Linked DNA regions of Notamacropus eugenii. The protein of the gene in region 3 binds, or shares a complex with, the protein of the main gene of each other region. Links are inferred from orthologs where the notes say so. Each region holds a gene or a part of one and is shown on either strand. Other genes may lie near its edges. The genes, in order: THOC1, CHTOP and ALYREF.

Region 1 (3,744 bases), on a different chromosome or scaffold from region 3:
TAAAATGGCATGCCCTGTTCTTGCTGAAGCTACACTCACTCTTTGTGAACATTACTTTCTTTTTCAGGCGTTCACTAACCATCTTTATAATAATATATGTCTAGAATTTTGCCAGGAGTCAAGGTCAAACAATGGCCTATAGTTTGCAGCTTCCTTCATCCCTTTCTTGAAAGGGTATTTGCCCTTCTCCATTTCTGTAGCATCTCTTCTATTCTCCAAGATCGGTTTTAAAGTGGGTTTTATTGATTTTTATACATCACAGTCATTCCTGAATGATTAACTCTCTTTCCCTTCCACTGAACCCTTCCCTATAACAAACAATTAAGCAAAAACAAATGAAAGTCACCATGGCTGACAGCGTATAACATTCTGTACCAAGATGCTCTCTATCTCTTTACTTCTCTTTGTTTTCAGCTCTCTAGGAGCCATTTTTGTTTTGTCCTTTCCAATCCACACACCATTCTCCTTGACAAAGAAAACAAAAGCAAATTAAATGTTGGATAGCCCTTATTCCTCTGTCATCATCACCATCATTCTATCTCTTCTTAATAGTAATACTGCCATGGGAGGATACAACAGACCACCTAAACAGAAGGAGCAAGTAAATGAGTTTGGGAAATAGGTCAAAGCTGGGTATTGACACATAATACAGTAGTGATGACAGACTTCAATTATCAGTTCATCTTCCAGCTGTCTCTCTTGATGTCCAAAAGAAAAAAAGTTAATAAATTACTGACCAATCAAAATGTAGAAGCAACAAGGTACTGGACTTGAATCTAACCAACAAGGAGTTTGCTGAAACAGAAATGAGGGCAACTTTGTAGGTGGATATCCCTGCATCTCAGAATTTCTCCTAAGGAAACAGAAAGCTTATCATAATTTCATATGAACCTTAGATTTTGAGAAGCCAAACTTCAGAATTCAGAAAGTGAATGCCCTTACCTAAAATTCTATGGAGAAAGCTCAGAAGGGATTTAAAAACAAAATGCTGAAGACACAAAGAGAAAAGATTGCAATGAAGAGAGAAAAGAATTGTCTAAAAAGCCTGTGTGGATTCACAGGAAAATAACCAATCAACCAAAATAATTGATTATATAAAATAATGACCTAGTCCCATAAGAATAAGATTAAAATACAGAATGAGTTATACTGTACATGTAAGTATATAAATAACATGCTAAGGACTACAAAATGGGTTTTTAAAAAATTATGTTGAGAAAAAGAGGAGGCTCGAATAAGGGAAAGGATCATTGGTTAGGGTAGATAAGATGATGTCACAAAATCACAGAATTTGAGAGCTGGGACATGTAGTCCACTTGACAGCAGAAAATATGTCCTACAAAATGATCAGTCAGCCTCTGCTTGAAGACCTCTAAAGGAGATACACACCAGGTCTAGACAGTGAATATGATTAAGTGGTTCCTCTTAGAAGAACTACAAATGACTAGGGGATCGATTTTAAATAGTAACTTGGAAAAAAGAACGCATGGAAAATAACACCAATGTCATATCTACTATTTCCCCCCTCCCCCAAATCATTTTGCAAAGAAAACATCAGCATGTAAGGAAATTTATACAGTGACAGCATAAAGGATCAGTTTTTTTCTTTAGAGCTCCTACTTCTGCACCAATTTACATGACCATGTAATTAAGTATGTTAATTACTCAATCAAATCTTGTACAACAGGTATGAGTCATCTAACAGCATTAAACGAAGAAAATAGCTAAATAAGCAGTGGGATGGTGGGGGGAATCGCCCTAGTTTAGGTAGGTATAAGATCTGGGTTTGAGATCCTGATCCACCAGAGGGGACAATGAAGAAGTCGCTGAACCGACACCTCAGTGTCCTCACCTGCAAAGATACCTGTGGATCTTCCTCGGTGGAGGGAGTGTCCAGTAAAAAGAAAATTTGACATAATTGTACATACACAGGCGCCAAGTCCCGGGGGTGGGGGTGGGGGGTGGAGGGGGTGTGAGTGTGAAGCGCTGTCACGACGGAGCTAGGCGGAACACCTGCAGGTTTTTCCCAGCGGGCCCTCTCCACACCCACTCTCAGTCCACGAGGAGATCTCCCCCAGCACTTCCCCCGCGTCGTGCTGCAGCCTCTGCCCACTTCACACGTTATTTTGTGTCATGACCTGTCATGTCCCATCTACCCCCCGGCACCCAGCAGGGTGCCTCAGGACACAGCAGACGCTTCACACTTTTGGAAGTCGGAATTTACCCTTGATTTTAGCCAAAAGCGAAAGGAAGGCAAACGAACCGCCGAGCTCACGATCGACGCTGGCGCGGGGCGGACGCGAGCTGTGGGGTTCTCAGACGCAGCACGTTTAAGTGACAGCCCCCCACCCCAGCCCTCAACTGTCTTCCCTCCTCAGGCACAGGCTGACCACCCACCCGCCCCCGGCGCCAGCGCTTTCCCGCCTCTACCCTCAATGGGGAGGCGGCGGAGGAGCTCTGCGTGGGGAACCAGGTGTGGCGAGAGTCGCGAGGGACACGCGGGGAGTGGGAATGCTGCCGCGGTTGGGGAGGCAGAGACGCGCGCGCTGAAGGGCCAGGTAGCCTGCCCCTCCCCCCAAAAAACCAGTAGAGAACGCCGCTGTGTACACACGTCCCCTGCTCTGGGTTCCTCCCCGTGGGAGAGCCGGTGTACCACGGAGAAGGCAGAGGAGAGAAAGGGGAAAAAGTGGTTTTCGGCCACCCCCTCCGCTTCCTACATCTCACCGTAAACCGAGTCTGTGCTTCGGGGAAACTGAAGAGAGGCGGCGACGGAGACATCTTCTCGCTTGCGCGTGCCCGCTAACGCGCCGTGGCGCCCCCTGATGACGCAGGGTCCCAGGCACACAGCGAGCTCCTTTGCGCGGCTAGAGCGGCACCGGGCGGTTGTGTGGGACGCATGCGCCGTCGGCGGAGGGGGCGGAGCTCTGGCGGAGGGGCCGGTATCGCTGCGCCGGCCGCAGAAGGAAGGAGGTGTTTCCGTGTTCTGCCAGCGGTGGTGGCGCGAGGGCTGTGCTCGCCCCGGAACACCTGGTGGTTGTGCGGATCCTGTCCGTTGGTATCGAGCGGGATTCGGAGAAAAGGTGTCTCCCTCTCGCGTTAGCACCTCAGTGATCCCTGTGGCGCGAGGCCCGCCCCCTTCCTCTCCAGAGCCCCGTTCGCCGCCGGAGAGCTCGGACGCGGTCCGGGCCGGAGCAAAAGTGGGCGAATCCCCCCTCCGGCCCACCCTTGTCGCGCTTCCTGAAGGGGCGACCCTGCTGCTCCCCTCTTGTCCCCGCTGCCCCTTTGTCCGTTGAGCTCGCCGTCCACCCTGAGGCCTCCCTAGGGCATAGAAGTGACCCGACCCGGGCTCTCGAAGTCGTCCCTAAAGCCCGTCCCCCGGGGGGCGCTAACAAGCCGGGAAAGCTTGGATTCGAATGAAGCCCCCAGCCTGCCTCTCCTTGGAGGGCCTCGTCACCGGAGGGACCCCCGAGAGATGGAGTTGGGGTCGTAGCTACTGCCGGTCCGCCAAGGCGTAGCTTGGGTGCAGTGCCAGCACCGGGGAGATCGTAGGTCCGGGGAGCTGTTGCTGGGCCGTTTGGCGCTTGGGGTGGGGGTGGGGGGTACGTTGGTCCTCTTTTTTCCTTGAATTCTCTCTTTCCTGTTGCTTCAGGAGACCAAGGGTGAGCGGGTTTGGAGTCAACAGGAAAAAGGACAGGGGGGTATTTTGTTTGCAGTCATCCGACAAGTCTGTGGTGACCAGATGTT
Region 2 (3,744 bases), about 52 Mb from region 3:
TTACCAACACAGAACAGCACTTACTCTGAAACTCAGGATCACGACGATCTCAGGGCCAAATGTATTCCAACTGCCTCATTTTATAGAAGAGGAACTGGGGCCCAGATAGGATAATTAGTAATTTGTTAAAGGTCACACAGTTACTAAGATTTTTAGGTGAGACTCCACTGAGGTCTGACTTTAAGTCAGGCTCCCTAAACAAACACCTCTCATCTGAGAATTCTGGGAGGTTAGGTGACCTAAGGTCACAGTCAGTGGCTCCTTGAACCCAGGCTTTCCTGACTCAAATGGCTTATCTATCCACACCCAGAGGAGCCTTCATGTTGAACATTTTTTGGCCTGGACTTAATGATTCCACTGGTATAGAGAGCTATCAGTAATGAGGCTCCCTCTACCAAGGCAGGTTTACCCCTGCCTTAACTTAAAGAAAAAAATCTTAAGAGAGCTGCCCAGGGCACTGAAATTAAATTACTTGCTCAAAGTTATAGAGCCAGAATGTCAGAGGCAAGACCTGAATTTGGATCTTTTCAACCCAAAAGTGTATTCTCTATCTACTACGTAATGCTTGCCTCTCATGGTGAATATTAATCTTAACAGTTTAAAAAAGAAACACCTCCCCACTAGTTTGCTCTGTCCCATACTGTAATTTACCTTCCATTTAATTAAAGGAACCCCATAAAAAATTTTAACAGAAATCTTTATGGTGTTATATTTTAACAGCTTTACTTTCCTGGGCTTAAAATGGCTTCCCTCCTAATTACCCCAAGTGAATCTTCTTGAAAAAGTCATGCATTAGCGCAACAACTTAGGTTAAGAATGTGATGACACTCCAATGAGTCTCATCTATGAAAGGTCAATATGAACAGGAAAGAACATTTAACAGAAAAAGAAGTAAAAACAAAGCCTAAAGCAGTACTGAAAGATGCAGAGTTGAAGCAAAGAGGGTGCCTCTTACAAGGCCCAAGAACAGCATTCAAGAGCCTTTGGGCTGAGTTTTGGCCTGCTACCTGCCTCTTACAGGCCGGACCACAATCATGTCGGCCTTGGACTGGGCAGCAAGCCTCCTACGGCCAGGGTAACATGCTACTGTGCTGCAGCATCCCCTATATCAATGTAAAAAACATGAAGAAAAAGGGAGGGTGTGAAGTGCTTGAGTTTAAAACACATCCCACCAGGTTAACGGTTCAAATAATTTAACGTACACAGCTACCGATAACGTGTTCTGTAACATTGCCCACTCTGTTTCGCGTACCACAGTATGAGGCGACTTAAGAACAGAGGTCGTTAGCCTTCTGTTGATATTTAAGTTAGCTTTAACTTAAACACTGGGCAGAAACCAAGATGGTTTGAGAACATCGGACCCCGGGGCCAACTTAAGTAAAGCTTCCTTAGGGAGGAGCTGAAGTTTCTGGTGGCTGCCTCACCGCTCATTTAGAGACATCTTGGTGGTGCTCTTTAGCACAACTTTCGGAGCTGACTGTGCAGCCATCTTCAGATCCCGGGAATCTGCAAAGGATAACGGGCGGTTTAAACACAACGGTAAGGATGCCACCCCAGGGGGCCGACACAAGCAGCCGCTGGGAGAGGGACAACGGCCTCGCTAACAGAAGCGGCCGTCCGAGAGAGCGGCGCGACGACACAAAGCGGGGCCCGCAGTGAACAAGGGGGGCCGCCCCGCCGAGAATCCGGGATGGGGGTGCCAGGAGGCCAGCAGCTCATCAAGGAGGGCCCCTCACTGACGGGCACCGATCGGGAGGCGGTGGCAGGACCCTTCCACAACTGCCCCCGAAAGCTTCCATCCCGGCCTTCCTCAGATCGCCTCCGCGGAGCCCTGGGACCCCCAAACCAACTAACACTGCGTACCCAAGCATACATGGCACCCCGACTTCTCTCTCAAACTTGGCGGCCTAAACCTTCCACCGGCCTTTTCTCTCCTCCGTCTCTCCCCCGCTCCCAGCCCCCAGGGTCCCCTTCTCTGGGGCTCCTCGCCCCACCCCCCGTCATTCTTCGGGTGCTGCTCCCCAGCCATGGGGCCCCCAAACGCTCTCCTCCTCCGCCCTCCGTCCTCACCCTCTAGCTCCCTCGGTCGTTCCGCGGCCACGCGAGCTCGTCTTCCCCCCCCCCCCCGCCCCCGCCCATCGCTCGCCTCCCGCAGCGCTTTCTAGTCACGTGACAGGCGCCCCCCGCCCCCCCTTTGGTCGTTCCCTTCTCCCCACCTTACCCCTTCCTCTTCAAGCCCCCCATCCAAGGTTTTTCTTCAGCCCCCCTCCCCCGCCCCAGGCCCCAGGCCCGGCCGCGCACGCGCGCACGCACCAAAGGACACGGACGCCAGCGCTCCGCCGGGGGCCGCCGCTGCCACTGCGGTTGCGGTTGTGGGGCCGGAGACCGGCCGCGCTGGGCTTGTCTGGGGCGGCTGGAGGTGCTGGGCCGAGACCGAGGGTGGTTAGCCGCTTGCGTGACGGGCTGGCTGTTGGGTCCTCGTCCTTTCAGGCCGCCCTCTCGCCCGCTACCGCAACCCACTCCCACTCGGCGACCCGAACAAAATGGCCGCCACGCTTGGAGTGGAATGGCGGTGGCCAAAATGGCGGCGGCGCGTGGACGTTGGTGTGAGACGCGCGCTCGTCGCGAGGGGCGGGGCTGTCGTAGGCCCGGCCCCCGGCGTGGTTGCTAACACGTGTTTCCGGGGGGGAGGAGGGGGGCGGTGACTACCTGGTGCTTTTGTAGACCCAGCGGGCATTTACACTGTACACCCTGGTCTTGTGCCCATCCGACCCTGAAATCCCGGGCTCTGTCAGGTGCCCGCTCCCGGTGCCCCCAGGGTGAGAACAGGTGGCAGCGGTAGACCCGGGTCCTTCCCTCCCCGCCCAGGCTCAGCCCTGTTTTCGCCGCTCACTTGTCCGGGCTGTAACCAGGAGCAGACCGAGGTTTAATCCCAAGCTGCCGTTTATGCTTCCCCGTTTAACCTGTGGCTAATTAGGCACCGCTTTCACTGTGCAGTGACAGTTGGGCTGTAGAAGAGGTCGGGTCTTAACCTGGGCTTCAGAAACTGTTTTAAAAATATTTTGACAATCATTTCAGTGTAAATGGCTGCTTTTGTAATTGTACGCGTTTTGTGCACTTAAACAAGAATTCCGAGAGGGTCGGCCATCTTCACCAGTCAATCGATAAACATTAAGTGCTTGGCGCCAGACTGCCAGATGTAACCAAACAGTTCACAAAGAGAGCTCCTGGATGAAAAACGTTTTAAAAGTCTCAATTCTTGATCTTATTATCCTAAATGATTTTTGGACCTCTATCCCTTCTTAGGGTACAGCTTTACCTTATTAACAACTCAACCTTGATTACATCCTGATGAAGTGGAGGGAGACTCAGGTGATTGATCAGCCCTCTTTACCTGTCTTAGAATCTTAGTCCTTTTCGGAAAGAGGGTTCCTCCCCTTCTCACCTTTCAAAGGGGAAAATGAGGCACACTATACAAGTCTACCCTCCTCCTCCATCGGTCTGGAACCCAAAATATCCAATCTCCAGGGATTTTCAGAAGAGTCATGACCCCTTCCAATAACTGCCCTCAGGCAGAGTTAGCCCTTCTTCTTCACTAACCCCCAAAGGAGACAGACACCACAACTGTTGGGAGAGGAGCCTTTAATGCATAATGGAGCAGTGATCCACAAATGCTATGGTCCAGCCTGGGACAGTAAACTGGGGGAGGCTGAGGGCAGAGAGAGGGCTATGTGGGAGGTGAAG
Region 3 (3,744 bases):
GCGACCTGCAGGAGAGGAAGAGGGGAAAAAAATCACTGTTCTATGGAACAATTATACATTGCTAGCAATGTTCTAGGCTCCATGCAAATAACACTGGATGGGTACCTTGTTGTCTCATTCTAAATACAAACATGGGAAAAGACTGGAAAATATTTGAGAAAGACAAATGGCAAGAGAGAAACCACCAACCTCCTCTTTGACAAAGTTAAAACTGGGTAAATATTCAATAACTTTTTCTTTGGTGGAAATGGGTGGAAGAGGGAAATACACCTGGCTGACCTAGTGGAAAAAAGATCCAGTACCTTTTTCTTTATCATTATAGCCCCGCTCTTTGAGGTGTACTATGGTGGTTCTGGGAAGGCCTCACAGAAGTGAATCTTCAGGAAGGATCTGAAGGAGGGGGTCACAAGAGGTTGGTCCAGATGTATGGGGCAGCACGAAAGGTGGCAGAACGGAAGAGAGAGACAAAGCGGGCAAATGCAAAGTGTGCTCGGCCAGAGTGGGCAAATCATATTCCTACACGGGCAGATGACAGCCCCATACTCCACAAAACGTAGCACCCAGCCCTTCAATGATGGAAGGCTCAACTTACCATCCAAAGGGACACCATTATACTGTTTCATGGCCTTCAGAGCGTCTGCTTTTCGCTCAAAGTGAACATCTGCTGTCCCTAAGCTCCGGCCAGACCGATCATAATGTACAGCTGCCTTTTTTAGAGTTCCGAATTCAGCAAATAGTTCCTAAAAACAGGAAAGAAAGGAAAAATGACTAACAAGGCTCTCTCCTATAACGTCCAAGGAAGAGGACCCCAGTAATATTTACATTAGGAGTTATGTTCCTGGAAGGGAACACACATCTAGGGAGGAGAGGGTGGGGAGAGCGGAACAGCAACTTCCAAAAGCAGCTGGGCCTGTCCCGGGTCATGCCAACTTTGGGGCATGCCCTCTGTATGATGCTATGGGCCAAAGAGTACTTTGCCCAGCGGAGAGGGGAATAATATTCAGCGGCTGTCTTTTCTCAAGGAAGAAAAACCACTCTTAACAAAAGAGTGTTCTAAGAAATGAAGAAAACCTCCAGGTCACAGAGCAAGGGAAGCTTTGCAGGCCACTGTAACAGATTTAAGGGCCCATTGATTCAATAGACCTGATCCCAGACCCACCCCCAGAAGGCAGATTCTGGCTCACCTGCGTTTCCCTCTCCTCCTACTCAAGCCTGCCGCAAAGTCTGACGTCAAGCGCTGCCATGGAAACTGCCCTGACCTCACGGCAGGCTGGGAGTTGGAGAGGGAACCCAGAGTGTGGGGATACTCCGGCCGCAGGCACACAGCGGGAAGTGGAGTTCACCAAAAGCGGTTTCCAGTGGATGCCAGAAACCACCTTAAAAAAAGTGTTGACACACCATGAGTGCTTGTCTGCCTTGCTCTGTCCTCCCACAGCAAAGCCGTATGGCTGGGCTCGAGGAAGTAGGACCCAGGAAAGCCTGGCATCCAGTCCCAACCATTTCCAACCTCCAAAGTTTTAACTCCTGGAAAGGAGTTTCTTAACAGGAAAGAGGTTAGATTTTTTAAAAAAGAGCACTGTTTTTTGACTTAATCCTGAAACAGGTGCTTTGTGGATGCCCATTTCTATACCAGAAGAATGAGCATCGGACATATTTTGATGAAGAGCCAATTAAGGTTACAAGGCTGCTGCTTCTTTGCTCTTTTAGCCTGAGAGAAGCTACACCTCCTCTCTCAAACCTAGCGTTTTCAGCACAACAACGAACGACACAAAAATCTGTCCAGGCTCAGTCACTCTGAACGGCCTCAAGAAGCCTGGGAAGCAAAAATCCCGGCCTACGCCAGTTCCCCGCAGCCCTCACTGCACCCTCAGCTTTACCACTGACAGCCTGGGCTCCAGAAGGAGGGATGAGGACCAGTCACCTGCAAGGCCCGTGGGGGGTCGGGGGAACCCCGCGCCGTGCACTTGGCTCCCGACAAGGGGGCTTCCGCGGGAGCCGCCGCACTCCTCACCTGAATATCCGCATCTGAGACCCCGAAATCCAGATTGGAGACCAGCAACTTCCCACCGGTCTCGACGCCGGCCCCGCCTCCAAAGCCGCTGTCGAACAGGTCGTGCTGCCACTTATCTGGAAGCTGCTTCGGCTGAAACAAACACAAAGGTCGGCGAGTCGTCCCCCCACCCGGCCGGGGCCTGGCGGGTTCTCCTTTCCCTGGGCCCCCTTCTCGCTCCCGCTGGCCCGGGCGAGGGGGGCAGGCGGTCGCCTTCCCGCCCCCACGTTCCCGCCGCCCCAAGCAGGCCCCAGTTCCCGCCCTGAAGGTAGCCATGAGGCTCCAGGCCTCGGTGGCCCATCAGAAACAAAAGGCCTCCGGGGGGTGGGGGGTGAGGGTCGGCGATCCCTCGGTCCTGGGTCAGCCCCCCCCACCCCCGCACGCCCCCACACAAGGACCCGGCCTTTCCCCTTCTGCGCCTCGGCCTCCCAGGGCTCAGCCCCCTCAGCTCCTCGGCCGGCCCGCTCCGGCCCGCTCGGCCCAGGCCCGGCCCAGCCTCCCGCTCTCCCCAGGCTGGCTCACTCACTCGGCTGTAGGGCGCGGGTCGGTTCCTGCCGCCGCCCCCGGCGCCTCCGCGGGCCATGGCCGGCCTGTTCCGGATGGGCCCCCCGCCTCGGCTCACGCGGGCGGCCGCCTGAGCGCCCCCGCCGCCGCGGCCGCCCTGGGCCCCGGCCCGGCCTCGGCCCCGGCCCCCGCCGCGTCCGCCCCGCTGACTCCGGTTGAGTTTAATGATGTCGTCCAGGGACATGTCCATCTTGTCGGCCATGGCGGGCGCGGAATCGGGGCCTCGGCACGAACCCCGCGCGTCAGCACGTCGGTACGTCACTTCCTTCGCGGCCGAAGGTTCAGGGCGCTTCCGGGACGCCTGGGCTTGCCTCCGAGTTGTCGGCGCTCGGCGGGCGGACCGAGCTCCCGGCAGAGCCTCGCTCGTCCTCTGCTCCGGCCGCACGCTGACAGCCGCTGCCCGGACCCCTGCGGCCCTTTTTGTACTTGTCGCGAGGGCGCCAACGGAAGGGCGCGAGCTCCGGGAGCCAGGCGCGAACCCAGGTGTGAACTCTAGCAGGGGGCGCTATAACTCGGGAGGGGGCCTGCCGCCCCCGGGAGGAGAAGAGAGCCCGGGAGCGGGGACGGGGGCGGGGCCGGGGCGAGCCCGGGGGCGGGGGCGGGGCGGGGCCGGGGGCTACCGTGGGGCGCGAGAGAATTCGGGGGAGCGGGCGCGTAAAGCGAAGGGCCTGGAGTCCAGTAGGGGCCCCCGACGGAGGTGGGGGCAGCATAAAGAAGGGGCTTAGACTCAAGGGAGAACTGTGACTGGAGGTGAGAACTCGGGGTGGGGGGGAAGCCCCTGACTCAAGTGGGAACTCAGGAGGGACCTGGGTCCTGCGCTGGCTGAAGCCCAGGCTTGCCTTAGGTGTGAGGCCTGAACCCGGTGGGAATTCTGGGGAGGGGGCGGAGTCACGTGAGCCTGGGGGAGGGGGAGTAAGCGGGGCCGCCCCAGGAAGAGAAGGAAACTGATTTGGGCTCCCCTGCTCCCCTGCTGCGAGTGGAGATTTCTTTAGTTTTCATGTTTTCTCCTTGATTCCGTTCGAATCGGTGAAGCATTTCTTAAGGGCCTGTTGGGTGCTGGGAATCCAGAAACCAAAACGGAACCACCCTTGCCCCTAAGGGGCTTTTATCCTACCGGGGTGACGGTCGTG

The links.
Region 1: ALYREF (region 3) and THOC1 share a complex: the UniProt entries of both Homo sapiens proteins name them as parts of the transcription/export (TREX) complex. The link is inferred for Notamacropus eugenii from reciprocal best matches to the Homo sapiens genes ALYREF and THOC1.
Region 2: ALYREF (region 3) and CHTOP share a complex: the UniProt entries of both Homo sapiens proteins name them as parts of the transcription/export (TREX) complex. The link is inferred for Notamacropus eugenii from reciprocal best matches to the Homo sapiens genes ALYREF and CHTOP.

The regions. Positions count from the first base shown.
Region 1 is NC_092875.1:244,527,804-244,531,547, reverse strand, and holds the start of THOC1 (THO complex subunit 1), read right to left. Parts: upstream 2,823-3,744; 5' UTR 2,779-2,822; coding exon 2,725-2,778; intron 1-2,724. UniProt on the Homo sapiens protein: Component of the THO subcomplex of the TREX complex which is thought to couple mRNA transcription, processing and nuclear export, and which specifically associates with spliced mRNA and not with unspliced pre-mRNA.
Region 2 is NC_092873.1:377,600,137-377,603,880, reverse strand, and holds the start of CHTOP (chromatin target of PRMT1 protein), read right to left. Parts: upstream 2,584-3,744; 5' UTR 2,314-2,583; intron 2,192-2,313; exon of another isoform or gene 2,071-2,191; intron 1,507-2,070; 5' UTR 1,490-1,506; coding exon 1,425-1,489; intron 1-1,424. UniProt on the Homo sapiens protein: Plays an important role in the ligand-dependent activation of estrogen receptor target genes. May play a role in the silencing of fetal globin genes.
Region 3 is NC_092873.1:325,989,810-325,993,553, forward strand, and holds the start of ALYREF (THO complex subunit 4), read right to left. Parts: upstream 2,817-3,744; coding exon 2,577-2,816; intron 2,144-2,576; coding exon 2,012-2,143; intron 741-2,011; coding exon 593-740; intron 6-592; coding exon 1-5. Other genes in the region: ANAPC11 (anaphase-promoting complex subunit 11), read left to right, coding at 2,779-3,097. UniProt on the Homo sapiens protein: Functions as an mRNA export adapter; component of the transcription/export (TREX) complex which is thought to couple mRNA transcription, processing and nuclear export, and specifically associates with spliced mRNA and not with unspliced pre-mRNA.